3 linked regions of the Lonchura striata genome follow. The protein of the gene in region 3 purifies or fractionates together with the protein of the main gene of each other region. This does not show direct contact. Links are inferred from orthologs where the notes say so. Each region holds a gene or a part of one and is shown on either strand. Other genes may lie near its edges.

Region 1 (9,820 bases), on a different chromosome or scaffold from region 3:
GCAGAGGAGCCCCAGCCCCAGAGACATTTGGTCTCAAACCTCCTTCAGCAAACACGGCGCCTGCCCGTGTCCCCAGCCAAGGGGAGCCACCACGGTGGCACAGCCCCATGCAGACTTTCCTGGGGGGTCACCTGTGTGGCAGCCTCAGGGGGGAGAAGGTGCAGCTCCAGATGGGCCAGAACACAACACAGGGAATCCCCAGAGGTGCCACTGTCCTCAGCCCCCTGCCCTCTCCCCTCAACCAGTAGGGGGTGGCTCAGTTCCTGGGTGGAAGGGGCTGGTTGACAATCACTTGCACAACAAAATCCTTCTGGATCTTGGTCTCCTGCAGTCGCGTGCGGTCAGTGAGCAGCTTGCCTGAGAAGAACCATCGCTGCCAGGCCAGGTCAATGCCCTCCTGCGCCTGCAGCTGCTTCTTCAGCTGCCCGATGGTGTCACTCATGCTGGCGCTGAGCCGCAGGTCCTTGCCGGTGGAGAGGCGCACCTTGAGGGTGAACTCCCGCCGGGCATTGGGCAGAGGCTCCGCCGGCTCCACCGCCTCCTCCTCGCTCCGCTCCAGGATCAGGTTGACGGGGGGTGCAAGGCAGTAGACGGGCAGCTGGTACCGGTTGCCCAGCTCATCATAGCACTCCGTCAGGGACCCTGGGGACAGCAGGATAAGATGCTAAGGGTGGGCATCCCCATGGACCACTCAAATGGGGACAGGGCCACCTCAAGCAGTATGGCACAGCCTGCCTTACTCCCCCTGGCTGGACTGAGCTCTGGATAGCAGGTGGGAGCCCCTTTCTACTCCAGCCTGAGACCCCCATGTGCCCAGATACGGGGCACTCAGCACACATCCCATGCAAACCCCCAGTGCTGACCCTCACCATGGGGCAGGGTGATGCTGGCTCCATCGAGGATGGCCTGGGCCAGGCTGTGGTCATTGGCTTCTACAGCATAGGCAGCTGCCTTCAGGGCATCCCAGATCTCCTTGCGGCCTTCAAAGGCTGGTGCCGTGTCCCAGAACTCGTCCCGCTTGCTGCGCAGCTGCCCGTCTGTCATGGGGTAGTCACTCTTCCACTTGGGACACTCCTTCTTCAGGGGCTCATTGCGCCCTGCAGAGGGGGGATATTCAGCCAAAGGACAGGGTTTTCCCTCAGGTCCTGAACCTCCCACCTCCCCATAACCACAGGTTCTTCCTGGGAATCTCCCGCACCCCAGCAAGGGTCTGAGGGATCACCCTGTCCAGTGAACAACAGCCCCCAGTGTAGCCAGGGGTAACGGGGCTAAAGCAAGCCTGGCCCAAGATCCCACTGGCCCCACAGCAGTTGTTCCCCCAAGTGACACCCTTTGCCCCCAGAGGGGACAAGGGCTCTTGCTTCCTTATTTGTGGGACCAGCCACTGCCCCCTAGGGTGGCCACAGGGCCTCAGGGCCCTTTGAGGCAGAGCAGTATTTATAGCTTGGGGAATTAGCCAGGAAATAAGCTGGTGAGTCGGAGCGAGAAGGGGATTACAAAGGCTGAGCTGCAGCAAAGGGGGGTCAGGACTTCACTGTCCCCTCTGCCCACCCTGGGATGACAGGGACCAGCTGCAGGCAAGACAGCATCCCAGGCATCAGGGGAACAGAGGGCATCACTGACAGACTGCAGGTGCCCCAGCAACGAGCTGAACTGAACTGGCTCTCCATGAAACAGCTCCTAGCCACATCCCCACAGACCTTCAGCAGCCAGCATTGCCCAGGGGCTTGAGGCACCCCAGTGCCAGTCCCAGAGCATCATGCCCTCACTACGCTGGGCTGTGGCCCTGTGGGAACAGCCCCATCTCATCAGTCCCACAGCCAGGCCGGACACGTGGGGCAGGAAGGAGTTGTCACTCCCAGCTGAGCTGGGGACAATGAATGATAACAGCTCCTTCCTGTCACCCCCCTCCCTGAGCTGGCCCGGCAGCACCCCTCCTGTGGGGACAGGATGAGGGGAAAGTGAGGCTCCAGCTGGGCACAAAGATGCCTGTGCCCACACAGCGACCTGCCAGACAAGGTGATGCCACACACCCCAGGCACCGGAGACAGCCACCACTGCCAGCTGTGGGCTGAGCCAAGGTGCCCAGGCAGCTGCTCCTGAGCAAGTGTGCGGTGACACAGAGCGCTACGTGACCTTTTTGATTGTACCGACCCTGCCTCACCCGACCCAGGACCACTAGAGCCAGCACAGCATCTGCTTCCCAGCAAGCACCCACCTCAGGGTGTGCCCAAGGGGCACAGGTGCTCAGCTACCCCAGGGCTGGGCACCAAGAATCCCTGGCAGGCAGCATCCATCCTGCCCACACCCTGGAGGAGCAAGGGCAGCCGACTGCAGCCAGTGCTGCCGATTCAGCAGTCACGGTGCTGGGCCAGAGGGATTTGCAGCACCACAGGACATGGCAAGGTCAGAGGCAACACCTGCCCCAGGAGGGCAGCGGAGAAGTGTCCACAGCCAGCCTGAAGGACATGTCTGGGATCATGTCCCTACACTGCTATGGCCACCAGGCTGGGGCACACGTTCCCACAGCCAGGACTCCTGGCCAGCACTGCCAGTCAGCACCATTCCCCCAGCTCTGCTTGCAACAAAGGCTGGCCCAGGAAAGGAGCTGTGGGGGTCGGCTGTGGCAGGGACCGGCTGTGGCTGCCTCGTGTGTACAGACATAACCAGCAGCCTTGCCCAGGTAGGCAGGGGCTTAAGCCTAGTCTATTTATTGCTACCGCCCAGCTGGGCCTGCACCTTCTAATCACCTCCTGCTGCTCTATTCCTAGCCCCTTGTGCAACTCTCCACAGCAGCACCACCAGACAGGTCCATCCGCTCTCTGTGCCCGGACTCGAGCCAACAGGATCTGGCTGGCAGCCTGCTGCCTCCTGCCCTGTGCCTGCAGCTCCCTGCCCGTGGCTCAGCACCCTGCAGTGCCCTCGTGAGGGACCCCCGGGCAGAAGGATGTGACCCAAAGGCTTCCCTGCCCTGGGCCTGCTCCCTGCCTGCAGGAGCCTTAGGCAGCCTCAGATGACAGGTCCTGGAGGCCCCAGAGAAGATGTCAGCCAGAAGGCACACACCACTGCTTCCAGCAGTGCTGGCTGGTCCACTCCCGAGTCAGGCAGGGTTGGGATGCTGCGTGCCACGGGCATGCCCAGCTCCTGCTGTGGTAAGCTGGCCACCCTGGGGACAATGCTGTCACCTGCTTCTGGGAGTCATCAAAGGACCCCTCCACAGGGGGTCACAACAAGCCCCAGCCAGAGCAGGAGCTGGCCAGGGAGGTGGGATGCTTAGCAGAGTCCTTGAGGCAGCAGAGGTGGGCAGGCAGAGCCCCCATCCCTGCTGATGGTAGGTCCTTGTGTACTGGGACCTGCTGGCCCAGGGCACTGTCCCCATACTGCTGGTAAGAGCAGCTGTAGCCTTGCTTCACCCCCACCACTTGCTGAGCAGCTCCCATGGGCTGGTGGAACCATGCAAACAAAGGTAGGAAGCAGCCAGGGCACCTGGCACAAGGGACAGCCTTGCTCTGCCAGGAAGGGACATACTGGAAGAAAGCAGCAGCAGTGACTGACAGCGGTATATCAGGGAGGGACCACGACCCATCCCAGGAGAGCAAGTGGGGATGGAGTCACAGGCTCTGCAGCCAGCTGTTGCCTGGCACGAGAGGGGATCACACAGATCCAGATGTTGGGATCTCACCCCATCCCCCATCACATCCTGATGCTACAAGGCAATGGCCCCACATTCCACCAAGCTGAGGGAACAGCCAGCCAGGAGCCCCAGGCCTCACCCATACCCGCAAGAAGGCACTGCTGGGGGACAAAGCGTGTCGGGGTGGGGGGGGCCATCACCCCAGTACATCCCAGCAGGGCATCCCCGGGGCAGGCTGGCACACCTGGAGCCCCACGCGGCGGGGGCGGCTGCCCACGGCACGGGCACAGCCCGGCCCAGCAGCCTCGGCACCCTGCACGTGCTGCCGGAGTGGCGGGCAGCGTCCCACGGAAAACGCCCTTCCCTCCCGCATGCCAGCTGCAGGCGAGGGCCGGGGCGTCCCGTCCCGGGCACACGCTTCCTGCCCCTCCTCTCCGCCGCCCACTACCGCTCTGCCATAAACACGGTAATTACCGGCTGCGACGGCACCGGCCGGGGAGGCGGCAAAGGAAAGGCGTGATTCATCCTACCAGCCCACGGCTTCTCCGCCGAAAGTCCACCGTACCCATCCCCGCGGCCTCCGGGACCCTCCGGCACGGCATCACGGGGAAGCGCCTCACGGCACCCGGGTGTTCGGTAACTCCGGGGGCCGCGAGGCTGCACCGGCCCCGCCGGCGCTCCCAGACCGGCGCGGCCGCTCCCCGCCCCACCCGCGGCTCCCGAAGCCCCCGCCGGCAGCAGCCGGGAGAACGGGACAGCACGGACCGCGGGCAGGCAGGACCCGCCGCGCCGCGCGGGGGACGCTGCCGAGCCCAGACCGGGGCAGCCGCCACCCTGCCGTCCTCCCAGGACGGCACTTCCCGGGAGGAGCCGGGAACAGGCAGGGCTCGGCTGGACCCGCTGCGCACCCCAGCCCTGACCCCGCAAAGCCTCCGGGGCGCCGGGACGGGAGCCGCGGTTCCCGTCCGCTCCCGAGGCCCCGCACCGAACCGGGATCCCCGGGGTCCGAAACCCCGAGGGCACAGAGCGGCTCCCGGGGTTGTGCGAGGGAGAAGTTGTCCCGTGGCGAGCTGCACCTCTCCGGTGCCCACGTTCCCCCGGCACCACCCCCAGGGGGACACCGGACCCCCCTCCGCCCCAGTGCCCGCGATCGCGGGGGCGCCCAGCCCGCAGGACCCCCGCTCACCTGCTCGCTTGCGGGTGTTGCCGCCGGCGGCGGGCCGCTCCCGGCGCTGCCGCCCCACGCAGCCGCCCATGGCGGGGCCGACCGGCGGCGCTCGGCATCGGGGCCGCGCCGGCTCCGCGCTGCGCCCGCCCGTGCGCGCGGGGCCCGCTGTGCGCGCGGGGCCGCCCCGCCCCCGGGCGCACGTGACCGCCGGCACCGCCCCCGCGCACGCGCAGGCGGGGGGCGGGGCGCGGCCCTGCGCGCGGGTGTCATGGCGGCGGCCGGGCCCGGGCCCGGGGCCGGGGCGGAGGCTCAGGCTCTCGCCGCCTCCGTCCGGGACTTCGTGTCCGGGCAGCAGGACGGCCGTGCCGCGGAGGTGGCGGCAGGTACCGCGCGGGGGCGGGGCGGGACTGGGCGTGGGCACGGCAGCGGAGCCGGGCAGGGCCTGGGGCGGGCGTGGGCACGGGCGGGTCGTGGCGGTGTGGGGAGGGGTTTGTGAGGGAGCGTGGGGCTGGGCTGGCCGGGCAGGGTGTGGGGACGCGGGACGGAGCGTGTCTGCGGGTTGTGAGGCTGCCGTGCGGGGCAGGGCACGTGGGATTGGGTAGGGCAGGGCCTGCAGCTCGGAGCTGCCAAGGAGGTGTGCGGTGGGTGAGGGGCTCCAGGAGCGAGGCAGGTGTGGCTGGCAGAGAAATGACTGTGGGACGATAGCTCATGGCCTTGCTGAGGGACCGTAGGAGGTGGCAGTTGCAGACTACCCTCACTGTGGTTTCTCCCCCTTTCCTAGCAGGACTTGAGGCGTTTGCTTTGGTCGGATAATTTATCCTCCTCCTTCGAACAGCAGTTGGGTGACTTTGTTGCATTAGGGAAGTTACAGCTTCAGGACTGTGACTTTCTAAGGATAAGGTGATATTTTTGTGTGTGTAGGCAGTGGCTTCAGCATGTTTTGGGAAGGAGCTCTGAGAGCCGAGAAGGGCTGTCTGTGTATGTTACATTACACACACGGGTGGCTTCTAGGTCTTTCCCAAGGCATGGTGGTTTGTGAACTGCTATGTGGTGTCTTGGTGATGAGATGAGCTGGCAAAACAGAAAGGTAACCCAGTGGCCCATGTAACACAGAGTGAAGAAATTGCCAAGGAAATTTGTAGAAATTCATTAAACTACATGATATTCAACATGTTGCAGAAGAGTTACACAGTCTCCAACATATTTGGGATATACGTGGGGAAGGATAACCTTACAACTGTTGTTATCACCTGATGTCATGTTACAGAAGTGCCTGGAGAAAGCTTTGTCTCTTGGAAGACATACAAAGAGAATTCCTCCCCACTTGCTTCTCCCAGCTTTTTTCAGCCATGTGGCTCTTTTGACAAAGCCACCTTCACAAACAGTGGGGCTGGCAAGTGTCCTTGAGCCCTTCTGACCTTGTACAGAACCACACATCAGAAAGGATTAAATTGCTTTGTGTATCCTTGAGCAAAAGGATAGGGAGGTCTTTCCTAAGCTCATGGCCATTGTGCAATTGCTGTAACAAACACATTGAGCTTCACCGGTTTGTTGCTAAGGACTAAAATGAGCGTAACTTGGCAAGTGGCAGAAAAGCCTTGGTGCTGTCACATGCAGGTTGGGCTGCATGGGTCACTGGCTGGCAGGAAGAGGCTGATTTCATCTTTCTTAAAAAATGGGGAGAGAAGGATACTGCTGCTACAGAATCCATTACACATTCCCTGTGAATGTTGTGCTTACATTTTGAAGGTATGGGAGAAACAAGAATGGAAGTCCTCCAGAAGCAACTAATACCTAGAAGGACACTGAAAGGGGGAGAGACCTTTCAGGAGAGAGAGCAGGTTGGTTCAGAGTAGCAATCCAGCACAGGGTGAATGGCTTGTTTCTGTTAAGTCTCTGGGAGCTACAGGAATGCCAGAATAGCAAGTCAGCCCCTCTTGGTAAAGGGATTCAGGGTGCCTAATTAACCTTGGGGCATATGTGCTGCTGCCAGATGTGGAGGTAGCAGTTTCAGGGGCTCACCACTGTGCCTGCCGTGCTGATGAGGCAGGTCCAATTAGCTGTGCTCACGCTGTGGCCTGTGCACGAGCACAGCACACTCACAGGCTGTGTCAGGGAGGGGTGGCCACACCATGTGAGGCAAAGCTGGTCACACCTGGTCCCTGAGAACAGAGGGAGCTCCCTTGCTGAGCAAAGGAGCTGCTGACCTCGGGGTGTATCAGTACCTGACTGTGGTTTGGCCATCACACGGTAGCTCTTTCTGTTGAGTAGGGAGCCAGAAGCTTTGTGTAGAGCTGCTTTCAGTCTCTGCAGACACAGAGAGGCAGAGCACCTGGCCACAGAGATGGCATTTGTGTCAGATTTTTTCTCTGATGGTGCAGAGGCACAAGGGCTCTTCATGAGCTTGCAGAGCAAGATGTTGGGATGCTGGATGTGGAGGAGCCATCTAAGCTCTCTCTGCAGCCCACTCTGCTTTGGCTTGTGCAAAGCATTTCCTTGCTGTTTCACTGTTGTTTTTCTGCAGGAAATTTTGCCAGCATGTCATGGCTGTCTCTGAGGGTGCCCCCTTTTCAGTCTGTGCCCGTCAATTCTGAGACCTGCTGGGTTCTTTATCCACACAGCTCCCCTTATCTGTTCTGTTTCTCAGCTCAGGCTCCTTTTCCCTGCTGCTCCAGGCAGAATTGAAAGCTCTGTCTCTGGAGTCAAGACTGCCTGCTGTCAGAACACACTGTCAGAAAACGCTGTCATCTTGTCCCTAGAGACAGCCCTATGATGAACAGTGTGTCTTAATGGTGGAATTAACTGCTTAGGAAGAGACAGTAAAGGCTTGCAACAGCAGGAGACACTAGCAGGAACAAGGCCTGGGAAAGCCCATAATGAAACCTTCTGAGAGGGTAAGTTCCCTGTCAGTTGTGCAGGTTCAGCAGGGCAGAGAGGTGAGCAGGTCCCTCCAGAGTGCCCAAAAGTATCCCTGGGCAAAGACAGTGAGTCTTAGTGACTGCCAGGTGATTTGGGTTTTTTTCTGGAGGAATGCTGTTTTGTCCAGGCAGAAAGTGAGGGGTGCTGCTTGTTTTCCAGCAATGTCACTTGACACCTGAGCTGCAGGTTAGGGGTCTGAAAGTAAGGCAGTTCCTTGCCTGCCACCCTATGTCTGAGCAGAGGATGTACACAGAGCTTTCCTTCTGGGGAGGTGCCACAGTGGCAATGGGTGGCAGGAGTGGAGAACCTGCCGTTCTGCCAAGGTTCTTGTACAGTGCAGCAAGTCCTTAGCAAAGCCTCCTGAGGAGTGACTCTTCCCCCAGTTGAGTTGCAAGAATATGGAGGTAGTAGGTGAATGAGGCAACCTGGCAAGGAATCTGAGTCAGAGTTGGAAATAGACACCAGGAATCCCAGCATTTTATCTTCCTCTGACCACAAAACTGCCTTTCTCCCTGCCCATCTTGGAAGAGGTTAGCGCAGTTTTGCACAGTGTGGAGGTGCTGGAGCCAAGGTGGGAAGCTGAGTGATCACTAGTGTCTGGGCTGCTTGTTCAGCCAGTTCTCCCTCAGGAAGCACCTGGAGAGCTGCCCTCTGTCTCCTCTCAGCATGCTTACATTAGAGAAGGGGGTTTTAGTATCTCAGAGAGGTGGAACTCAGCAAGACTTCTCTTAGGAGCCACACATACAGCCATGCTTCAGGGAGAGGGTGAGGCAAAGTGCAGGCCGTTTCTCCCCTGGCCATCTCCTCTCAGCTCTCAGTCTCAGAGGTGTTTGCAGGCAGGGCTGGAGGCAGCTCCAGCAGTTAAGTGCACATGGCTGCTTTGGCACTTTAGTGAGGAGTCAGCACTGACTGACCATTCTCAGTGCAGTGCAGGGATATGTCCCAGCATCCATCTCCAGTAACATGATCTCTGGTTCACTCTCTTTACCTCCTTTCTCCAGGGGTGAAAGATGGAAGGTGGACAGTGCTGCAGCTTGTGGAAGCCCTGGGGTAAGAAAAGCCTTATGCAAGTTATACATTGGGTAAGGGCCTTGCAGGGGACATTCCCACAAGGAGGCATAGTGAGAAGGACAAGTGTGCTCATCCAGGATGAGCTTCAGCACTGGATGACACGTTGCAGCAGGCAGGATGTTGTCTGCTCACAGCGTGGGGCTTAAGCAGTGCTTTGCCCTCCCTAGATGTGGGAGCTCTCTGGGAAAGAGCAAGGCTGGAGCAGCTCTTGATGCTCTCCCAGGACAGAGGAGAGATGCTGTGGCAGGCAGCATGCTGCAGGGCACTTTTCAGTTGGGGCTGTCCCCAGCAGGAGCTGCCTGAGCACACAGGTGCACAACACCATGTCACAAGTTGGCTGGCACTCAGCTTCTGCCTTTGTCTCCAAACTGTCATGGCCTAGGCTCATTTCTCCCAAGCTGGGGGCTGGGTTTGCCTCACTGTAAGAAGCTTTATCCTTTTTGACCCTTGTGATCTTGGGAGCATGGTGCAAGAGCAATTTCTTTGATCTGACTTGAGAACTTGGATTTCTTTCTGCATGGTTCTGGGGCTGAGTGCACACATGCAGCATAGACAGGGAGAGGAGTCTTTCCACTCTGCCAGCAAGTCAGACATGATTGGGCGCACAGAGTGGCACCTCTTTGGTTTTGTAATGTGCCTGCTCAGGATGTGCTTCCTGCTTGGATGTACCTGCTCACAACAGGCTTCTTGGGCTTTCTCCCCTCTTGGCCTAGGTTTTGCCTGGAGAACACAGATCCTCGGATGCGAGGGCGAGGCATCCAGCTGTTGTCACAAGTCCTGCTCCAGTGTTACTCCCTGCTCCAGGAGAAGGAAGGTAAGACTCTTCTGGCCCTTGAGTGTCTGGCTGGGGACAAAACCTGTGCCATTAAAATGTCTGTCCTGCAATTGGCAAAGGGATTGATCTAACACTGTGACAACCTTGTACATGTCTCTAAGAGTCAAAGTCCAAGGAGGGCAGGAAGCTTTGTGCTGCAGCCTTTTTGCCAAACTCACCACACAGTTCAGATCACTGTCTGATTACACCAAAT
Region 2 (9,980 bases), on a different chromosome or scaffold from region 3:
TTTGGATCCCCCCGGATCCCTTTGGATCCCCCCGGATCCCCCCGGATCCCTTTGGATCCCCCGGGATCCCACCTGGGGGTGCAGGCAGAGCCCCAGATCCCTTTGGATCCCATCAGATCCCCCAGATCCCTTTGGATCCCATCAGATCCCATAGGATCCCACCTGGGGGTGCAGGCAGAGCCCCGGGTCCCCCCCCAGATCCCCCCGGATCCCTTTGGATCCCCCCAGATCCCATGGGATCCCCCGGGATCCCACCTGGGGGTGCAGGCAGAGCCCCAGATCCCTTTGGATCCCCCCGGATCCCCCCAGATCCCTTTGGATCCCCCCAGATCCCATGGGATCTCCCGGGATCCCACCTGGGGGTGCAGGCAGAGGTTCTTGCGGGAGCTGAGCGCCAGCGCCAGGAGGGGGAGGGGCTGGCCCAGCTCCCTCTCGTAGCCTTCCAGAAGCTTCCGCAGCTCCTCCACCACCTGCCGGGAGCCCCGGGATCCTCAGGGATCCACCGGGATCCGCCGGGATCCGCCGGGACCCCCCGGACCCCCCGGACCCCCCCCCCGACCTTCTGGATCTCGGGCACGGTGCGGGAGCAGTAGATCAGCTTGGAGACCTCCAGCGGGTGGGCCTGGGGGGGAGGAGGGATCTGATGGGATCCAGTGGGATCCAGCGGGATCCAACCCGGGATCCAGCCCGGGATCCAGCCCGGGCGTTGGGGAGACCCCAGGATCCACCAGGATCTCCCCGGAGCCATCCGGAGCCTCTGGGATCCACCAGGAGCCTCCCAGATCCCCCCCGATCGTCTCGGATCCCCCCCAAAATCAGCCCAGATCCCCCCAGAATCCTTCAGACCTGGCAAAACCCCTCCAGATCCCCCCCAAACTCACCCAGATCCCCCCCAACCCCCCCAGATCCCCCCAAAACCCCCCAGATCCCTCCAGATCCTTCCAGATCCCCCCAAAACTCTCCAGATCCCCCCAAATCCCCCCCAGATCCCCCTGAAACCCCCCCAGATCCCTCCGAGATCCCCCAGGATCCCTCAGACCCCCCCCAAACCCCCCCAGATCCCCCCAAAACTCTCCAGATCCCCCCAAATCCCCCCCAGATCCCCCTGAAACCCCCCCAGATCCCTCCGAGATCCCCCAGGATCCCTCAGACCCCCCCCCAAACCCCTCCAGATCGTCTCCGATCCCCCCCAGATCCCCCCCAAAATCAGCCCAGATCCCCCCAGAATCCTTCAGACCTGCCAAAACCCCTCCAGATCCCCCCCAAACCCACCCAGATCCCCCCCAAACCCCCCCAGATCCCCCAGGATCCCTCAGACTCCCCCAAACCCCACACCCAGATCCCCCCAAACCCCCCCAGATCCCCCCCAAATCCCCCCCAGATCCCCCCAGACTCCCCAAAATCCCTCCGAGATCCCCCAGGATCCCTCAGACCCCCCCCAACCCCACACCCAGATCCCCCCAAATCTCCCCCAGATCCCCCCAAATCCCCCCCAGATCCCCCCAAAACCCCTCCAGATCCCCCCAGACTCCCCAAAATCCCTCCGAGATCCCCCAGGATCCCTCAGACCCCCCCCCAAACCCCTCCAGATCCCCCCAGATCCCCCCCGATCGTCTCAGATCCCCCCCAGATCCCCCCCAAAATCAGCCCAGATCCCCCCAGAATCCTTCAGACCTGCCAAAACCCCTCCAGATCCCCCCAGATCCCTCCAGATCCCCCCAAAACTCACCCAAACCTCTCCAGATCCCCCCAAATCCCCCCCAGATCCCCCCGAAACCCCCCCAGATCCCCCCAAAACCCCCCCAAATCCCCCAAAACCCCTCCAGATCCCCCCAAATCCCCCAAAACCCCTCCAGATCCCCCCAAATCCCCCAAAACCCCTCCAGATCCCCCCAGATCCCCCCAAAACCCCTCCAGATCCCTCCAGATCCCCCCAAAACTCACCCAAACCTCTCCAGATCCCCCCAAAACCCCTCCAGATCCCCCCCAAAACCCCTCCAGATCCCCCCAAATCCCCCAAATCCCCTCCAGATCCCCCAGATCCCCCCGGATCCGGCGGGATCCGGCGGATCCGCACCCGCTGGTAGGCGACGATGAGGGCGAGCAGCGCGATCGTTTTCCCGGTGCCCGACGGCATCTCCAGCACCCCGTGGCCCTGGGGGGGGAGGGGAGGGGCGCTCAGGGGGGGCGGATCCCGCCCGATCCCCCGGGTCCGGGTGGATCCCGCGGGTGGATCCCCCCCGCAGATCCCGAGGCCAAAACAGCCCCAAAATCTCCTTTTTCCCCCCCAATTTCCCGGATCCTTTCCCGGGATTCGGCAGCCCGGGCCCCCAAATCCCAGCCGGGGGTGGATCCCCGGGGTGGATCCCCGGGGTGGATCCCCGGGGCGGATCCCCGGGGTGGATCCCCTCGGTGAATCCCGGGGTGGATCCCACCTTGGCGTCCAGCGTGCGCTTCAGCTCCAGCATGTAGGAGAACTGCTCGGGGTAGATGAACTCGTAGGGGAACAGCACCAGGAGCCCGTCCACGTTCAGCCTGCGGGATCCCGGGGGATCCGGTGGATTCCAGGGGTGGATCCCGAGGGATTTGGGGGGTTTAGGGGAGATTTAGGGGATTTTGGAGGGGATTTGGGAAGGATTGGGGGGGATTTGGGAGGATTTTGGGAGGATTTTGGGGTTTGGAACAGCACCAGGAGCCCGTCCTCGTTCAGCCTGGGGGATCCCGGGGGATCCAGTGGGTTCCAGGGGTGGATCCCGAGGGATTTCGGAGGATTTGGGGGTTTTTGAGGGGATTTTTGAGGGGATTTTGGGGAATTTTGGGGTTTGGAGCAGCACCAGGAGCCTGTCCACGTTCAGCCTGCGGGATCCAGCGGGATCCGGTGGATTCCAGGAGTGGATCCCGAGGGATTTTGGGGGGTTTAGGGGAGATTTAGGGGATTTGGGGGGTTTTTGAAAGGGTTTTTGAGGGGATTTTGAGAGGATTTGGGGGATTTGGGGGTTTGGAGCAACACCAGGAGCCCGTCCACGTTCAGCCTGGGGGATCCCGGGGGATCCAGTGGATTCCAGGGGTGGATCCCGAGGGATTTTGGGGGGTTTAGGGGAGATTTAGGGGATTTTGGAGGGGATTTGGGGGGATTTGGGAAGGATTGGGGGGGATTTTGGGGAATTTTGGGGTTTGGAACAGCACCAGGAACCCGTTCACGTTCAGCCTGGGGGATCCCGGGGGATCCAGTGGGTTCCAGGGGTGGATCCCGAGGGATTTTGGGGGGTTTAGGGGAGATTTAGGGGATTTCGGGGGGGATTTGGGGGGATTTGGGAAGGATTGGGGGGGATTTTGGGAGGATTTTGGGGTTTGGAGCAGCACCAGGAACCCGTCCATGTTCAGCCTGCGGGATCCAGTGGGTTCCAGGAGTGGATCCTGAGGGATTTTGGGGGATTTGGGGCATTTTGGGGGGTTTTGAAAGGGTTTTTGAGGGGATTTTGGGAGGATTTTGGGGAATTTTGGGGTTTGGAACAGCACCAGGAGCCCGTCCTCGTTCAGCCTGGGGGATCCCAGGGGATCCAGTGGGTTCCAGGGGTGGATCCCGAGGGATTTTGGGGTGATTTTGGAGGGAATTTGGGGGATTTTGGGGGACCTGGGGAGTTCCGGAGCCTTTGAACAGCCTCAGATCCTCGGGGGGGGGGCAGGGGTGGCTCGAAAGTCCCAAAATTCCCTCAGATCCCCCCAAAAATCCCCAACCCCCCTCAAATTCTCCAAAATCACCCCAAAATTCCTCCCCAAACCCCAAAAATCCATCAAAATTCACCAAAATCCCCCCCAAATTCCCCCAAAATCCCAAAATTTCCCCAAAAATCCCTCAAAATTCACCAAAATCCCCTCAAATCTCTCCCAAAACCCCAAATTCCCCCCAAATCCCTTCAAATCCTCCAAAATCCCCTCAAATCCCCGCCAAAAAAACCAAGATTCCACCCAAATCCCCTCAAATTCTCCCCAAACCCCCCAAATCCCAAAAAGGTCCCAACATTCCTCCAAAAGTCCCCCGAAAATTCCCACAAAAAGCCCCAAAATACTCCCCAAACCCCTCAAACTCCCCCAGAACCCCCCAAAATTCCCTCGAATTTCCCAAATTCCCCCAAAATTCTGCCCAACCCTCCCAAATCCTCCCAAATTCACCAAAATTCCCTCAAATCCCCAAAATTCCCCCAAAACTCCCCCAAATCCTTCCAAATTCCCCTCAAATTTCCCAAATCCCCCAAAATCTCCCCAAAATTCCCCCCCAAATTCCCCCCAAACCCCATCGAATTCCCTCAAAGTCTCCCCCAAACCGCCCCAAAATTTCCCAAAATCCCGAAAATTCCCCCCCAATTTCCCAAAAAAATCCCCCCGAAATTCACCCCAAAACTCCCAAAATTTCACCCCAAACCCCCAAAATCTCCCTCAGATCGCCCCAAATCCCTTCGGATTCCCCCCAAAAAATCCAAAACTCCCCAAAAATCCCCAAAATTCCCCAAAATTCCCCAAAATCCCCCAAATTCCCCCAAAATCCCCCCTCACTTCATGGCTCGCGCCGCTGCCTCGCGCCGCCGCCGAGGCCCCGCCCCCCGCCGGCCCCGCGCATTCCCATTGGTCAGCGCTGATCCCGCCTCGCTCTCCCATTGGCTGCCGCAGCTGCCACTCACGGGGGGGGGGGAGAGCGCTGCCGGGGAGGAGCAATCGAGCGCCGAGCGATGGATCGGGGGAGGCTGGTGGGGGCAGAGAGGAAAAATTTGGGGATTTTGGGGGTTTTTTGGGGATTTTTGGGGAATTTTGGGGAATTTTCGGGTCTTTGGGGACATTGGGGGAAGCGCGATTAAAATTTTGGATTTTTGGAGACATTGTCGGGGTGGGGGATGAGAAGAAATTTGCGGATTTTGGGGTTTTTTTGGAGATTTTTTGGGATTTTTGGGGAATTTTCGGGGATTTTTGGGGGCATTTGGAGACATCGGGGGAGGGGCGACAAAAAAATTTGGGGAATTTTGGTGATTTTTTGGATTTTTAAAAAAATTTTTGAGGACTTTGGGGAGAACGGCCAAAAATTTTGGGGATTTTTGGGGTTTTTTGGATTTTTTTGGGTTTTTGGGGATTTTTTGGGGGTTTTTTTTGGGATTTTTGGGGGAGGGGCGACCAAAATTTGGGGGATTTTTTTTGGATTTGCGGCTGTGACGTCACCGAGGGCGGGGTGAGAGAGGGGCGTGGCCTCCCACACCTATCCGTTAATGAAACTCATTTGCATAAATCTGCATAAATTAATTTTATTTGCATTTCACGCTTTTATTGCCAAAAAAGCTCCCGCGAGAATTCACCCGAAGCGCCGGCAAAAAACCAGCCGGGATTTGGGGAGAAAATCCCAAATTTGGGGAAAAACACAAATAATATTTAAGTCCCAAATTTGGGCGGAAAGGCACAAATCGGAGGGAAAAAAAAATCCCAAATTTGGGGAAAAAAATCCCAAATTTGGGGGAAAAAAATCTCAAATTTGGGGAAAAAACACAAATAAAAGTCCCAAATTTGAGGGGAAAACACAAAGCGGAGCGGAAAATCCCAAATTTGGGGGAAAAACCCAAATTGAAGGAGAAAAAAATCCCAAATTTGGGGAAAAAAACCACAAAAGTCCCAAATTGGAGGAGAAAAACCCAAATTGAAGGAGAAAAAAATCCCAAATTTGGGGAAAAAAAACCAAGTAAAAATCCCAAATTTGGGGGAAAAGGCGCAAATTGGTGGAGGAAAATCCCAAATTTGGGGGAAAAAAATCCCAAATTCGGGTTAAAGGCACAAATTGGATCGGAAAAATCCCAAATTTCATTTTTTTCCTGATTAAAAAATCCCCCAGCTCGGTGTCCCCTGCCCCGAATTCTTTTTGGGGGGAAAAAACCCAATTTTGGGGAAAAATACCCCAATTTTAGGGAATACAAAAACCTCGATTTTGAGGAAAAATACCTCAATTTTGGGGGAAAAAAAGCCTCAATTTTGGGGTAAAAAAACCTCAATTTTGAGGAAAAATACCTCAATTTTGGGGGAAAAAAAGCCTCAATTTTGGGGTAAAAAACCCTCAATTTTGGGGTAAAAAACCCAAATTTTGGGGGAAAACCCCAATTCTGGGGAAGAAAAAAAAACTGATTTTGGGGAAGAACAAAAATGGCCAATTTTGGGGCCAAAATCCCAATTTTGGGGTTTGTGGCCAGAGGGAATTTGGGGGAAATGAAGAATTTTGGAATTTCTGGGAAGCCCTGGGGCCAAAATCCACAAATTGAAGCGATTTTGGGACGTTTGGGGGGATTTGGGGTTTTTGGGGAGGATTTGGGGTTTTTTTTTGGGTGGATTTTGGGGTTTTTTGAAGATTTAGGGTTTTTTAGGAAGGATTTGGGGTTTTTTTTGGGAAGTTGCTCCTAAAATTCCCCTCAGGGATTTTAATTTTTTTTTTTTTTTTTTAAACAAAATTTTTTGGGGGGAAATGGGAATAAAAATCCAAGAAAATGGGAAAAAAAATCCAGAAAGTGGGAATAAAACCCCCCAAATATTGGGAATCAAACCCCAGAAAATTGGGAATAAAACCCCAGAAAATTGGGAATAAAAATCCAGAAATCGGGAATAAAACCCCAGAAATTGGGAATAAACCCCCAGAAATTGGGAATAAAACCCCAGAAATTTGGAATAAAAATCCAGAAATTGGGAATAAAACCCCAGAAATTTGGAATAAAAATCCAGAAATTGGGAATAAAAATCCAGAAATTGGGAATAAAACTACAGATATTGGGAATAAAACCCCAGAAATTAGGAATAAAAATCCAGAAATTGGGAATAAAACTACAGATATTGGGAATAAAACCCCAGAAATTTGGAATAAAACCCCAGAAATTTGGAATAAAAATCCAGAAATTGGGAATAAAACCCCAGAAATTTTGGGAATAAAACCCAAAAAATTTGGACTAAAAATCCAGAAATTGGGAATAAAACCCCAAAATTGGGAATAAAACCCCAGAAATTTGGAATAAAAATCCAGAAATTGGGAATAAAAATCCAGAAATTTGGAATAAAAATCCAGAAATTTTGACTAAAACCCAAAAAATTTGGACTAAAACCCCAAAATTTGGAATAAAACCCCAGAAAATTTGGGAATAAAACCCCAGAAATTTGGAATAAAAATCCAGAAATTGGGAATAAAACCCCAGAAATTTTGGGAATAAAACCCAAAAAATTTGGACTAAAAATCCAGAAATTTGGAATAAAAATCCAGAAATTTGGTATAAAAATCCAGAAATTGGGAATAAAACTACAGAAATTGGGAATAAAACCCCAGAAATTGGGAATAAAAATCCAGAAATTTTGGGAATAAAACCCAAAAAATTGGGAATAAAAATCCAGAAAATGGGAATAAAACCCCAAAATTGGGAATAAAACCCCAGAAATTTGGAATAAAAATCCAGAAATTGGGAATAAAAATCCAGAAATTTGGAATAAAAATCCAGAAATTTTGACTAAAACCCAAAAAATTTGGACTAAAACCCCAAAATTGGGAATAAAACCCCAAAATTGGGAATAAAACCCCAAAATTGGGAATAAAACCCCAGAAAATTTGGGAATAAAACCCCAAAACTTGGGAATACAAATCCGGCCCCGGCTGGGATTTGGGGGCCTGGGCTCCCGAATCCCGGGAAAGGATCCGGGAATTTGGGGGGAAAAAAGGAGATTTTGGGGCTGCTTTGGCCTCGGGATCTGCTGGGGGGATCCACCCGGGGGTTCCCACGGGATCCGCACGGGATCCAGCCTCGGTTCCGGGGGGAATTCCCAGGGGATCCCCTCGATTCCGGCTGGATCCCCCCTCGATTCCGGCTGGATCCCCCCTCGATTCCGGCTGGATCCCCCTCGATTCCCAGGGGATCCCCTCGATTCCGGCTGGATCCCCCCTCGATTCCCAGGGGATCCTCTCAATTCCGGCTGGATCCCCCTCGATTCCCAGGGGATCCCCTCGATTCCGGCTGGATCCCCCTCGATTCCCAGGGGATCCCCTCGATTCCGGCTGGATCCCCCTCGATTCCCAGGGGATCCCCTCGATTCCGGCTGGATCCCCCCTCGATTCCGGCTGGATCCTCCCTTGATTCCGGCTGGATCCCCCTCGATTCCCAGGGGATCATCTCAATTCCCAGGGGATCCCCTCGATTCTGGCTGGATCCCCCCTCGATTCCAGCTGGATCCCCCCTTTTTTCCCCAGGGGATCCCCCTCGATTCCGACTGGATCCCCCCTCGATTCCGGCTGGATCCCCCTAGATTCCGGCTGGATCCTCCTCGATTCCCAGGGGATCCCCCCTCGATTCCGGCTGGATCCCCCTCGATTCCAGCTGGATCCCCCCCTTTTTTCCCCAGGGGATCCCCTCTATTCCCGCTCAATCCCGAGGGATCCCCCGGGGTCGATCCCAGCTGGATCCCCACTCACACACACAGATCCCCGCTCCTGGTGCCGGTCCCGGCGGATTCCAGGGGGATCCCGGTGGATCCGGCCAGATCCCCACTCACAAGGATCCCCGATCTCGCCACCCGTCCCGCCAGATCCCGGCTGATCCCGGCGGGATCCCAGCAGGATCCCCCCTCGCAGGGCCCCCAGTTCTTGTTGCCAGTCCCGGTGGATCCCGGTGGATCCCAGTGGATCCGCTCTCGCCGTTGCTCCCATCAGATTCCAGCAGATCCCAGCCAATTCCCGCTGATTCCAAGGGGATCCCCGCAGATCCAGCAGGATCCCCTCTCGCAGGGACCCCAGTTCTTGTTGCCAGTGGATCCCGGCAGATCCCGGTGGATCCAGCGGGATCCCCTCTCGCAGGGACCCCAGTTCTTGTTGCCAGTCCCGGTGGATCCCGGTGGATCCCAGTGGATCCGCTCTCGCCGTCGCTCCCATCAGATCCTGGCAGATCCCAGCCCATTCCCGCTGATTCCAAGGGGATCCCAGTGGATCCGGCAGGATCCCCACTGCCAGGGACCCCAGTTCTTGTTGCCAGTGGATCCCGGTGGATCCCCGGGACCGGCTCTCGCCCATTGGATCCTGGCAGATCCCGGCCAATTCCTGCTGATTCCAAGGGGATCCCGGAAGATCCAGTGGGATCCCCTCTCGCAGGGACCCCAGTTCTTGTTGCCAGTGGATCCCAGCGGATCCAGCAGGATCCCCTCTCGCAGGGACCCCAGTTCTTGTTGCCGGTGGATCCCGGTGGATCCCGGTGGATCCCGGTGGATCCCCGGGACGGGCTCTCAGCGGGGCGGGCGGCCCAGCCTGCGGAAGACGCCACCGGAGCTGCTGCTGGACACGGCGCCGTCCTGCGCCGCCGGCCCGGCGCCCTCGCGGCGCCGCTTCAGCACGCCGGCGTACGGCAGCGCCTCGGGATCCGCCGGATCCCCCGGCCGATCCCCCGGCGGATCCCCCGGCGAGTCCCCCGGTGCCGCGCCCAGGCGGCTGAACACCCCCGAGGGCTGCGGGGACGCGGGTGCAGGGTGGATCCCGGATCCCCCAGTGGGTGCAGGGTGGATCCCGGATCCCCCAGTGGGTGCAGGGTGGATCCCGGATCCCCCAGTCGGTCCAGGGTGGATCCCGGATCCCCCAGTGGGTCCCAGATCCCGCCCTGGGTCCCTGAGCCTGATCCCGCTCTGGATCCCAACTCCTGATCCTGCCCCAGATCCCAAATCCCACCCAGGATCCCGCCTGGCTGATCCCCAAGTGGATCCCAGATCCCGCCCTGGATTCCAGATCCTGCCCCAGATCCCACATGGCCCATCCCTGAGTGGATCCCAGATCCCGCCCTGGATCCCTGAGCCTGATTCCACCCTGGGTCCTGACTCCTGATCCTGCCCCGGATCCCAAATCCCGCCCAGGATCCCCCCATGCCGATCCCCAAGTGGATCCCAGATCCCGCCCTGGATTCCAGATCCCCCAGGATCCCTCTGGACACCACCACCCCCCC
Region 3 (10,066 bases):
CCTGGAAGACTCTGCCCAGAACTCAGGAATGCAAAGCAGATGTCTGCTCCTGGCATTTTTCCTGGACTTGAATGAGGCTGTTTGGATTCAACACAGCTGCTCCAAAGGGTCATAGTTTCTCATGGAAGGTGTCCTATTACAAAGCATTCCAGAGACTAAATTTAGGGGTGGCATTTTGGCCTAATAAACATTTGAAAATAAATATTTCTAACAAATTAGTGTTTTCTTCTCCCACTTTGTCTCCATGCAATAGGAACCAGCTAATGATCTTCAAGAGCAGGATGGAAGGTTTCTACCAGAACTGGTGGTACATTATCAGCAAGTACAGAGCTAAAGGAGCCTGGATAGGAGGGCCTGGGCCTTCAGCAAAGCCACTGTGGTTTGTTCTATGATAAATACAACATCCACATCACTTAAACACACCAGATCTAAACTAATCAGATTCTCCATCCCTAAACAGCAGAAGTCAGACCTCTGCTTTGAAAATCATCCCTCAATGATTAACGGTAAATGCAAACCATCAAACACATTCTATTGCTTCTCTGAGAAGGCAAATGGTCCAAAGTGCATCCCCGGGGCTGCTGTGCACAGTGTGTTTCATAAGGCAAGTGCCAACATTCCAATAAATTATTTAGCACTAGTATTATGAAGTGATGAAAGCCAAGCAGAGAGCTTCAGCAAAGCACCATTTACTGATCCCTTCTCTGTTTGGAGTGCAGGTTGAAGCAATCTGTTGTCAGCTTAGTCATCCTCCTGTATTCCCCCTGGCACATACTTGCATTTCTTTCTCCCCCCAAAATTTGGGGGCAAAATTTATTTTCTTTGTAAAAAGCCACCAAAAACCAGAAAACAAAATCAAACCACCCAAGCGTGGTGCCTGGGAGCTGCCAGCATGCATTACCATGGCTGGAGTTTCATCTGTGGTGCAAATGCTGGCAATGTCAGAACTAATCAGTTCAGTGACTCAATAAGAGGCAGAGCAAAGCTGGGTTGTTCTGTTCCTTGCCCAATATTAATATTACATAAATACTGTCTTTATTTGCAGTTTCATTCATACATCCCAGCCCATTCAAAGGCTGCTGAGCCAAACGAGCAGGCTGAGGCTGCTGCAGAGTTGGCTTTCTGCAGCCCTGTGCAGACAGGGAAGCTCAGCTCTGGACTGGGAAGGTCTGGCTTTGTTCCTCTCCTGCTTTGCTGTGTGACTTTGGACGTCACACTTGGAGCACTCAACTGGACTGCCAGGCTGAGCTTCACACAATGTCCATAAGCTTCACCCTTTTCAAACAGCATCTGAGACCCTCCCAGGGAAAATACTCCTGGAGTGCAAAGCACTGCCATCAAACTGGTGAGCACAACCTATATTTTTAGAAAGTGTATTTCTTATTTTCCAGATAACTGATGGCAAAGAAGGCAACATCGCAATGGATGCATGTACCAAAACACCCAGCAGGATTTCTCAACAGGTTGTTATTTTTCCATGTGGTCCAGGACTAGAGACATCCTTTACAAAAATTCAGATTAATTTTTAATGAGTTTTTCTATTGTCAAGGTCTACCAAAGACAACAGTTTAATGAATGGCGCAGTTCCCAAATAGGAACCAGAAGAATAAGTTGAGTTTTAGCATTAAATCTCAAAGCACTTAGAGCAAAACTTGTCAAACACTGCCAAGACAATCTTTCAGCAGAGCCTGCTGGGCTGCTCATACTGAGAACTGGTAATGACTCCTGTATTGCAGGTGCACAAATAACACCTCTTCAAAGATACTCTATTTCCTACCACAATGAAGCAGTAATTAAAAATAAATCATGTTTTACACAGGTCTAAAGAGCCCTCCACATTTGGCTAATCTAAGGTAAGATAATTAAAATCAGACGTGATTTGGAAGTGTGGACACGTACTGCTAAATGTCCTCCAACTCTGCACACACCAGCTTGTACAACTTGTGATGTCTGAAAGTGAAACTGTATTAACAGTCCGAAACTGTCACAGGAATGTAAAGATTTTACCTAAAAGTTATCTTGGTGTACTTGTGAAATGCAGTGTGCAAAATCCACTTCTAAGATGCAGTTTATAACTTATTTTTAATAGTGAGAAACCAGTTAAAAACAGGTTGAAAAAAATGGTTAATGGAAAACTGTACCTATGCAATTACTCAATACAATTAAAAAGCTCATTTTTATTATATTTTTGTAGCTGTCTGTAAGCTAACTCCCCACACAGTATTTTTTAAAAGAGCAAAGAAGCATTTCCTCAAGAGAATTTAAGTGATTTTATTTTGCTCACAGTTTTATATAATTTGTAACATCACCGCATATATACAAAATTAGTTAAGTAGATCAGAACACCAATGATTTCCTCACCAGGCAATTATGACCGAGCAGACAAACACTGATTCACCACTTCCAGCAGGTGAGAGTTTTCCAAAGCAGCTGCCACACGTTCCTTATCAGCGAGCTGTTTATTAACTGTGCAGGAAAAAGCCCACGAGAAACCAGTCAGGACACTGGGACTCGCTGTGCTCACGCCGAGCCCCACCATCCCAGCTGCAGGGCTGGGGATGCCCAGGGCACCCAGCTGCTGTCTCAGCACGGAGCCTCTCTGGCACAGCAGCTGTGCAGGAGCTGCCTGGGATTCAGCAGCAGGAGCTGCTCCACGGGTGTGACACAAAAAATCCCCGTTTCCTCCCCTGTTCCCAGTGCTCAGGCAAATCAGCAGTGATGTCTGAGAGCACAGGCTGCCTGAGGAGATGTGCACAGAACACTGCAGCACTCCATGTTCTGTTGTGGAACATCCCCCAGAATCTGACGCACAGAAAGTCCCAGGCACTGAGCAGCTGCTCTGCAGCTGTGGGAATCTCTCTCCTCACTAATTTTCAAGATTAAAACAAATATGAAGGCCACACGAGAGAGGACTAAAAGTCTTACCTGCGTGCTCAGAGGCATGTGTTCCTGGTGTTATATGAACATCCAGCTGAAACAGCAGCACAAAAGAAACGGGATGAGTTTGACAAAGCATCGGAACATTAAGTTCAAACTAATACAAATGAAATAGTAACAAAAAGAAGAGAGAAAGGACATTCTTGCCACTATCAATTATTCTATATAACAGAATAAAACAGAAGTGTACAATTGCAGAGCATTCTGCATTTGTACACGGTTAAACCTGCTTCAGACAAGGGTGAGAGCTCCCCTCCTGCTGTGCTGCAGAGCACTGCCTGCAGTGATTGCCCCTGGCCCGTGACAACCCCCAGAACTGCACGCTGGTATTTCACCCACTGCCCTCTCTGCTTCCTGCAGCACCCCTCACACCAAAAATGAAAAAACCTCTAGTTATTTTTCACTGCAAGCTGCTTAGCTTTTCTTTTTTTTTTTTTTACCTTTTAAAACTTTTTTTCCAAACACAACCCCCCTCTTTTGCTTTGACTGCTCACCTTGAACCTGTCGGGCAGAGAGCGGAGCAGCTTGACCTTGATGGAGAGGCCGATGAGGGTGGCCATGCTGCAGTGGGGGATGGTGGGCGTGAACTCCACCGACACCGTGCTCTCAGCATCGTTCACCTGCGGGCACAGCGGCTGGCACCACAGCCCCGAGCCCCGCTCGGGCACCGTCAGTGCTACCTTTACGTGCTACCGTAAATATAGTTCAATACTATAAAACACGAGAAGTCTATTTGAATGTTAGAAATTATTAATCGACAAGTACTATGTTCAATATATTAAATATATTAAAATATTATATTGTAATGTGATCATTAGAATTATAACTATTGTAAATACATTTAAATATTCTATATTTAAATATTATATTGTTAATTTATTATATATTCAAATATTATATTATATCTTATTATATAATAATAGAATATAATACAACACAATAATATAATATAATATAATATAATATAATATAATATAATATAATATAATATAATATAATATAATATAATATAATATAATATAATATAATATAATATAATATAATATATATTATAATATATAATATATATAATATACTATAATACAATATCTAATATATATTATAGTATGTATATGATATTATATTATATATATTGTATCGTATGATAATATAATATTTATAATATAATATTATAGCATATATATGGTATTATAATATAATAGTATATTATATATTATATTATAATATTACAGTATATATATAGTAATATGATATGATATGATATGATATCATATCATATGATATCATATCATATATCATATATCATATATCATATATAATATATCATATATCATATATCATATATCATATATCATATATCATATATCATATATCATATCATATCGGACGGCTGAGGCAGCACATCCCGGCGGGATCTCACTTTCACTCGCGCTTCCTCGACGACGTTGAGCTCCTCCAGGGTGAGCGGGTGCTCGGGGTCATTGATGGAGCGGATGAGATGTGCGGGTTAAGGAAAGCGGCGCTGCCCGCCCCGGCCCGCCCGCCCGCCCGGCCCTGCCCGCCGCTCCCGCAGGATATCGAAGATCTCCCGGTCGTCGATGGCGTCGGGCAGCTCGTCGTCCTCCTCGCGGGCGGTGACGGGGCGCTCCCCGGAGCGGCGGTAGACGAGCGGGTTCGCGTTCTCCAGCGGCGGCGCGCCCGGGCCCACCATGGCGGCAGCGGAACCGCCCGCACCGGAACCGGCCCGGAGCGCGATGGGCTCCGCCCCGCGGGGCCGGCAGCGGGGCGGGGCTGCCGGGCGGCCCGGGCCGGGCGGGGCTGCCGGGCGTCCCCGGAGCTCCGACCGGACCGAGCGCCGGGTTGGAAGCCAATGGAGTCGGCGGCGCGGTGTCCGCCGCTGGAGATACACCGACGCACACAGACACAGAGGCACACACACGCACATACACGCACACACAGACACGCGCACACAGACACAGACACACAGAGACACACACATGCACACACACACAGACACACAGACACATACAGACACAGACACAGAGACACACACATGCACACACACACAGACACACGCACACACACATGCACACATACGCACACACAGACACACACACATGCACACACACACAGACACACGCACACACACATGCACACATACACACGCACACACAGACACACTTCAGTGTCCGCCCAGCTCCGGGCTGGGCCTGGCGCCGCCAAGGATGCTCCCATGCGACTTGTTGAAATGTTCTCTGCTTTGAAAAGTCAAACAAAAGAACCCCACGCAAATTTAAACTGAAGTGGCAGAGTGTAGTAATGACACGCTTTGGCTTCATACACCCCTCTAAAAGGGGATTAAAGCAAGTCTTAACTATTTTGATTTGGTTTGCTTATTTTTCTATTGTTACTTTTTAGTTATTTGCAATCTCTCCTCCCGGTTGTTGGGGCGCGGAGGGCGGATTAGGGGTTTTGTTGCTTTGTTTTGCTTGTCGTGGTGTTTTGGTGATACTTTTGTTGTTTTAAGAGGGTTTTAAAGAACTTCATAGTATTTAAGCTCCGGAGTGCGTTCAGACTCGCCCTCTTTCTCCGCCGCCAGCACGGACAGCCGGTGAATGAGCTGCGATTGCCGCTCCGTGGCGCCCGCCGGGCGGCGCTGGGCACCGCCGGCACCGGGGAGCGCGGGGCGGCGGTCGGGGCCGCGCCGGTGATCGGGGCTGTGAGGGTGATCGATCAGGGGCTGTGCGGGTGATGGGGGGGCCGTGCCGATCATCAGTCAGGGGCCGTGCCGATGATCAGTCAGGGGCCGTGCCGATGATCAGTCAGGGCTGTGCCGATCATCAATCAGGGGCCGTGCCGATGATCAGTCAGGGCTGTGCCGCCCCCGGGTCCGGCACTCCCGTTTGCCTTCGCCCCTCTCGGGGCGTTCCCTGCAGGTTCCGTGCCCCGAGTGCCCTCGCTGGGACCTTTGTCCCCTCCTGTTCCGCAGGAGAGAGTCCCCGGGAGCCCCACCGGGGCTGAAAATGTCTCCTGCGAGCCCGATCGCGTGGCTTTGCGCCTTGTTTTGTAGCGCAGCCTTGTTCCTCGTGTGCGGGACAGAAGGTGAGCCCCGCGACTTGCTGCTGCTGCCGGGGAAACCGCTGCACCAGCTCCCGATGGTTTTTACGAAGGCGGTAAATCTCTTGTGCCTTGGTTACCAATCTGCAAAAATGCCTTCATGATGCAAAAATTACTGGGTTTGAGATGATAAAATGAAAATTAAGTTTTCTGTCCTTTTTAAAAAGTAGAAAGCAGCAACATTTGTGAATTCTCTAAACAAAATATTTTTAAGATCTTGTTGAATGATAGATTTAGCAAATGCCAATGGTTTTGCTGTTTGCTCTGAAATTTGTTCTTGTATAGTGACAATATCCTGCCCTACATGGCTCCAGGTATAAATGGCAGGAGGGTTTGGCAGGGGGTGTCTCTCACTGCACCAAAGCAAAATGAAAACTGAACAAAATTGAAAGGAATAAACTGAAATGTTCTAAATTAAACAGTCAGTTAAAAATACTTAATGGGATAGTCTGTGAGATAATTATGAAGATGCAATTTAATTCATTATTTTTTTATCTATTGTGTTACTTAGGACAGAGTGGTGCTGAGCCAGAGGTGACTATTGCACTTGGACGGCTCAAAGGAACACAGACAAGCGTGAAGGGCACAGACAAGCTTGTAAATGTTTTCCTTGGAATTCCTTTTGCAAAAGCCCCTCTTGGATCCTTGAGGTTTTCTCCACCTGAACCGCCTGAACCCTGGAGTGGTGTGAGAGATGCAACTTCTTACCCACCGCTGTGAGAGCAGTTCTTTTGTAGCCAGAAGCTGCCCGTGCTGCAGAGTTGTGTTTATTGGGGTGCAGAGGCTGCTTCTGCTGAGTTGTTGGTACTTGGTGGTGGATACACTGCCAGTACTGGAGTATTTCTAGTACAGGTGTGGAGATGTGCTTTTACAGGCTGTACCTCTCAGTGATTATAGGTAACACAAAATTCAAGCACCCTGTGGGGATTCAGCTGGGACCAAAAGAAATGTGTTTTCTCTACTGTTGTTACTTTGATGCTATTGTAGGTTTAGTACAAATAATTGTGTTGTTTTTTTTTTTTTCTTCCCTTGGTGAAGCTGTCCTCAAGATCTGTCCCTGTTGAAAATAGCTGAAAAAAACTTTAAAGAAAAGCACCTTGCATTCCAAACTTCTGAGGACTGTTTGTATCTCAGTGTTTACAGCCCCGCTGGCTCAAGCAAGAAGGACAAGTTACCTGTATGTAAACCATTGAACAAACTTGTGATTTATAAAGCTTGCAAGTAATGATTGCTCTTAAGAGAGTTAATTGCTTTGAAAATGTGATGCTGCACAAGCAGAAATAATATTAGCATGTAAAATTCCAAGATCACCAGTCTGAAATTCAGCAGCCATCGTGCTTCAGTGATTTGGTGTTCCTAATTATCTGACGTTGTTTTCCTTTTTCAAGTGAAATCTGCAAACCAGCGCGTTAAGGTGTGTCTCACCCTATTGTTTCCAAGGTAATGGTGTGGATCCATGGAGGCAATTTTATATTTGGTGGTGCTGCTCGGTATGATGGCTCTGCACTGTCAGCCTACGAGAATGTTGTGGTGGTATTAATTCAGTACAGACTGGGACTCCTTGGGTACTTTAAGTAAGAACACTTATTTCACTTTTTACAAAGTACTTGCTGTCACGTTTAAAGCACGGGTAGTTCTGTTTGCTAAATGTGCTGAACTTTTATATCAGCTTCCCACTGTTAGAGTGGTTTAAATGTACAAAATTCACTGACATCAGGACTTCAGAACACCAAGAAATGTCTGTGCATTCCACCTGCATGGCCATGTGATTGCAGCCTGCTTATTTGATGCTGGGCAGGATGTTTGTTCTGGCCTTTGCTTCCATGCTCTGCTGTGTAAAGCAAAGCCTCGGGTGGAGCACAGGCCAGGGGTCTGCCTGAGCCGGGGTGGGCAGGGGCTGAGGTGTGAGCGTGGGGGGCTGGAGGTCCCTTTGCAGCAAACACAGATTGCTGGGGTGGCCTCTGCTGTGCCACTGTCACTGTCACTGCTGCTGAGGAGTGGCTCTGCTGCTTTCCTGTCAGCACTGGTGACGAGCACGCCCGCGGGAACTGGGCGTACCTGGATCAGGTCGCTGCTCTTTGGTGGGTCCGAGGAAATATCGAGCACTTCGGTGGAGACCCAGCATCTGTCACTCTCTTCGGGATATCTGCAGGAGCTTGCTCTGTTTTTGCACATGTAGGTATATAGTAGATAAAAATAAAAGTCTTTGAAAGCTTAATTAATGTAACATTTCATGTTTAATCTGGTTTTTGACCATAAATTTAACAGCGCATTGGGCTAAATCTGGAGATATAGGAAATAAAGATGTATAAATCCCAAGATGTATAATTCCCAACTGAATCCATGAGTTAATAGACTATAGCTAGCATTAAGTTGTAAGGTAAGGATGTTAATGTAGAATAAATACTTTTTGTTCTTCCCTTCTTGGCAGGTGTTATCTCCTTTATCTAAGGGTCTCTTTCATAAAGCAATATCAGAGAGTGGAATTCTAATTCCCCCCAGCAAAAATTTACATCTTTCAACAGATCTTGAGGTAAGCTCATTGTTTTGCATTTAAAGTCTTTATAGCCTAAAATAGGCTTTTCCTATGGGTAGAGGAATACTAAATATCTATCCAGGATATCTAAAGGATACTGAAGTATAAAGGATATATAAGGATATCTAGGGGATACTTCTATGTGATAATTTGTTTAAAAAAGAAAAGGGGAAAATGTCATTGTATATTGTGCAAGAAAGTTGATCCAGTTCATTGTTGCAGCACACCTGTTTAATTTTGGTCTGGTTGGTGTTAGAAATAGATTGGACAACTGTATGATTCTAACAGTTGTGGGCTGACAAAGGCATTTTCAGTCACACAAATGCCAAGCTAGGCAAATGTTCATTTTTATATCCACTGTACTCTACACAGTAACGGTGGCATTTATTATGGAAAGCTTAACAAGAAGAAGAATTCAGTTTTTTATTAATCTACAGCCCTTTAAGGAGGGCCTTTATGTGAAGTAAATTAATTAAATATAAAAAAAACCCAACAAACAAACCAAAAAACAAAACCCAAACTTAAAATAAAATCACTTTCTATAAGTTCCTTTTAATATCTTTTCCTGTCATGCCAGATAGTAATAATGTAAATGTTTCTGAGTTTTCTTTCCTTATCTGGTTTATTCTACAAGCTTGTATTATCTCTACAGAAAAGTTTGAAAAGACAGTGAATGGAAATACAACAAGAAAGAGAAGTACACCGGAATGATTTCACTTTGTGATTGATATGGTTTGACACTGGCACAATGCCAGTGTTTTTATGAAAATGTGATTTTTACTTTGAATGCTGTAAAGTGGAATTTAGAATACAATAAAGTAGGCTTAAATTTGATAATAGGAAAAAAAACTTTATTAAACTACTATTACAAAAGAAAAGAGAAAACTAAAGAAGGGAAAAAAAACTACACAAAGATCTAAATGAAAACTTTGCAAAACATTCCTCCCCCCACCACTTAACTCCAACAAACTACAGTGAGACACAATCTGGACCCCAATCAGGTTTCTACCTTTTAAGCAATTGATATTCAGTCTATTAAGGGAATAGAGTTTTTCCTGTGCTACAGACCTCTCAAGAAACACAGCTTTATATCTTGTGTTTTTATGTTACACATGGCACTGCCTGGAGAAAAAGTTTGCCATGGTGACCTTTCTCCTTTCCATGCACAGTGCTCTTACTATTAATGTATGGATGGTCACTGCCTTTAGGATTTTTCCTTTTAAGGATGCCCTGCCAAGAGGGGAGAAAACAATAGTTTAGTTTTTCATTTTTTTGGGACCAGAGTCCCCCCCATTTTCCCTTGGGGCTGAGGGCTCAAGAACAGAGATCTTCTTCTCTTCTCTTTTTTTTCTAGGGCAAGGGGGCGCTACTACAAACCTCCTAACTTTTTCTTTGTTCACTCTACTTTTGTCTTTTTCTTAGCTGAAGTAGGTTTCTTGACTCACTGGCATCCTCTTAAAACACAGTCCTTCTTGA

The links.
Region 1: the proteins of CIAO2B (region 3) and MMS19 purify together in Homo sapiens (affinity purification with western blotting; 11 studies listed by BioGRID and IntAct, counting the BioPlex papers as one, with this or other methods). This does not show direct contact. The link is inferred for Lonchura striata from reciprocal best matches to the Homo sapiens genes CIAO2B and MMS19.
Region 2: the proteins of CIAO2B (region 3) and ERCC2 purify together in Homo sapiens (affinity purification with western blotting; 3 studies listed by BioGRID and IntAct, with this or other methods). This does not show direct contact. The link is inferred for Lonchura striata from reciprocal best matches to the Homo sapiens genes CIAO2B and ERCC2.

Annotation. Positions count from the first base shown.
Region 1 is NC_134609.1:18,894,556-18,904,375, forward strand, and holds the start of MMS19 (MMS19 nucleotide excision repair protein homolog), read left to right. Parts: upstream 1-5,049; 5' UTR 5,050-5,070; coding exon 5,071-5,185; intron 5,186-8,722; coding exon 8,723-8,771; intron 8,772-9,505; coding exon 9,506-9,606; intron 9,607-9,820. Other genes in the region: UBTD1 (ubiquitin domain-containing protein 1), read right to left, coding at 257-642, 870-1,097, 4,821-4,890. UniProt on the Homo sapiens protein: Key component of the cytosolic iron-sulfur protein assembly (CIA) complex, a multiprotein complex that mediates the incorporation of iron-sulfur cluster into apoproteins specifically involved in DNA metabolism and genomic integrity.
Region 2 is NC_134633.1:6,042,807-6,052,786, forward strand, and holds the start of ERCC2 (general transcription and DNA repair factor IIH helicase subunit XPD), read right to left. Parts: upstream 4,566-9,980; 5' UTR 4,560-4,565; coding exon 4,555-4,559; intron 2,536-4,554; coding exon 2,436-2,535; intron 2,156-2,435; coding exon 2,078-2,155; intron 623-2,077; coding exon 560-622; intron 471-559; coding exon 357-470; intron 1-356. UniProt on the Homo sapiens protein: ATP-dependent 5'-3' DNA helicase. Component of the general transcription and DNA repair factor IIH (TFIIH) core complex, not absolutely essential for minimal transcription in vitro.
Region 3 is NC_134615.1:4,216,763-4,226,828, forward strand, and holds CIAO2B (cytosolic iron-sulfur assembly component 2B), read right to left. Parts: upstream 4,695-10,066; 5' UTR 4,649-4,694; coding exon 4,514-4,648; intron 4,436-4,513; coding exon 4,358-4,435; intron 3,558-4,357; coding exon 3,432-3,557; intron 2,972-3,431; coding exon 2,926-2,971; intron 2,467-2,925; coding exon 2,369-2,466; 3' UTR 2,247-2,368; downstream 1-2,246. Other genes in the region: CES2 (cocaine esterase), read left to right, coding at 5,961-6,039, 6,566-6,770, 7,093-7,231, 7,495-7,628, 8,076-8,229, 8,486-8,587.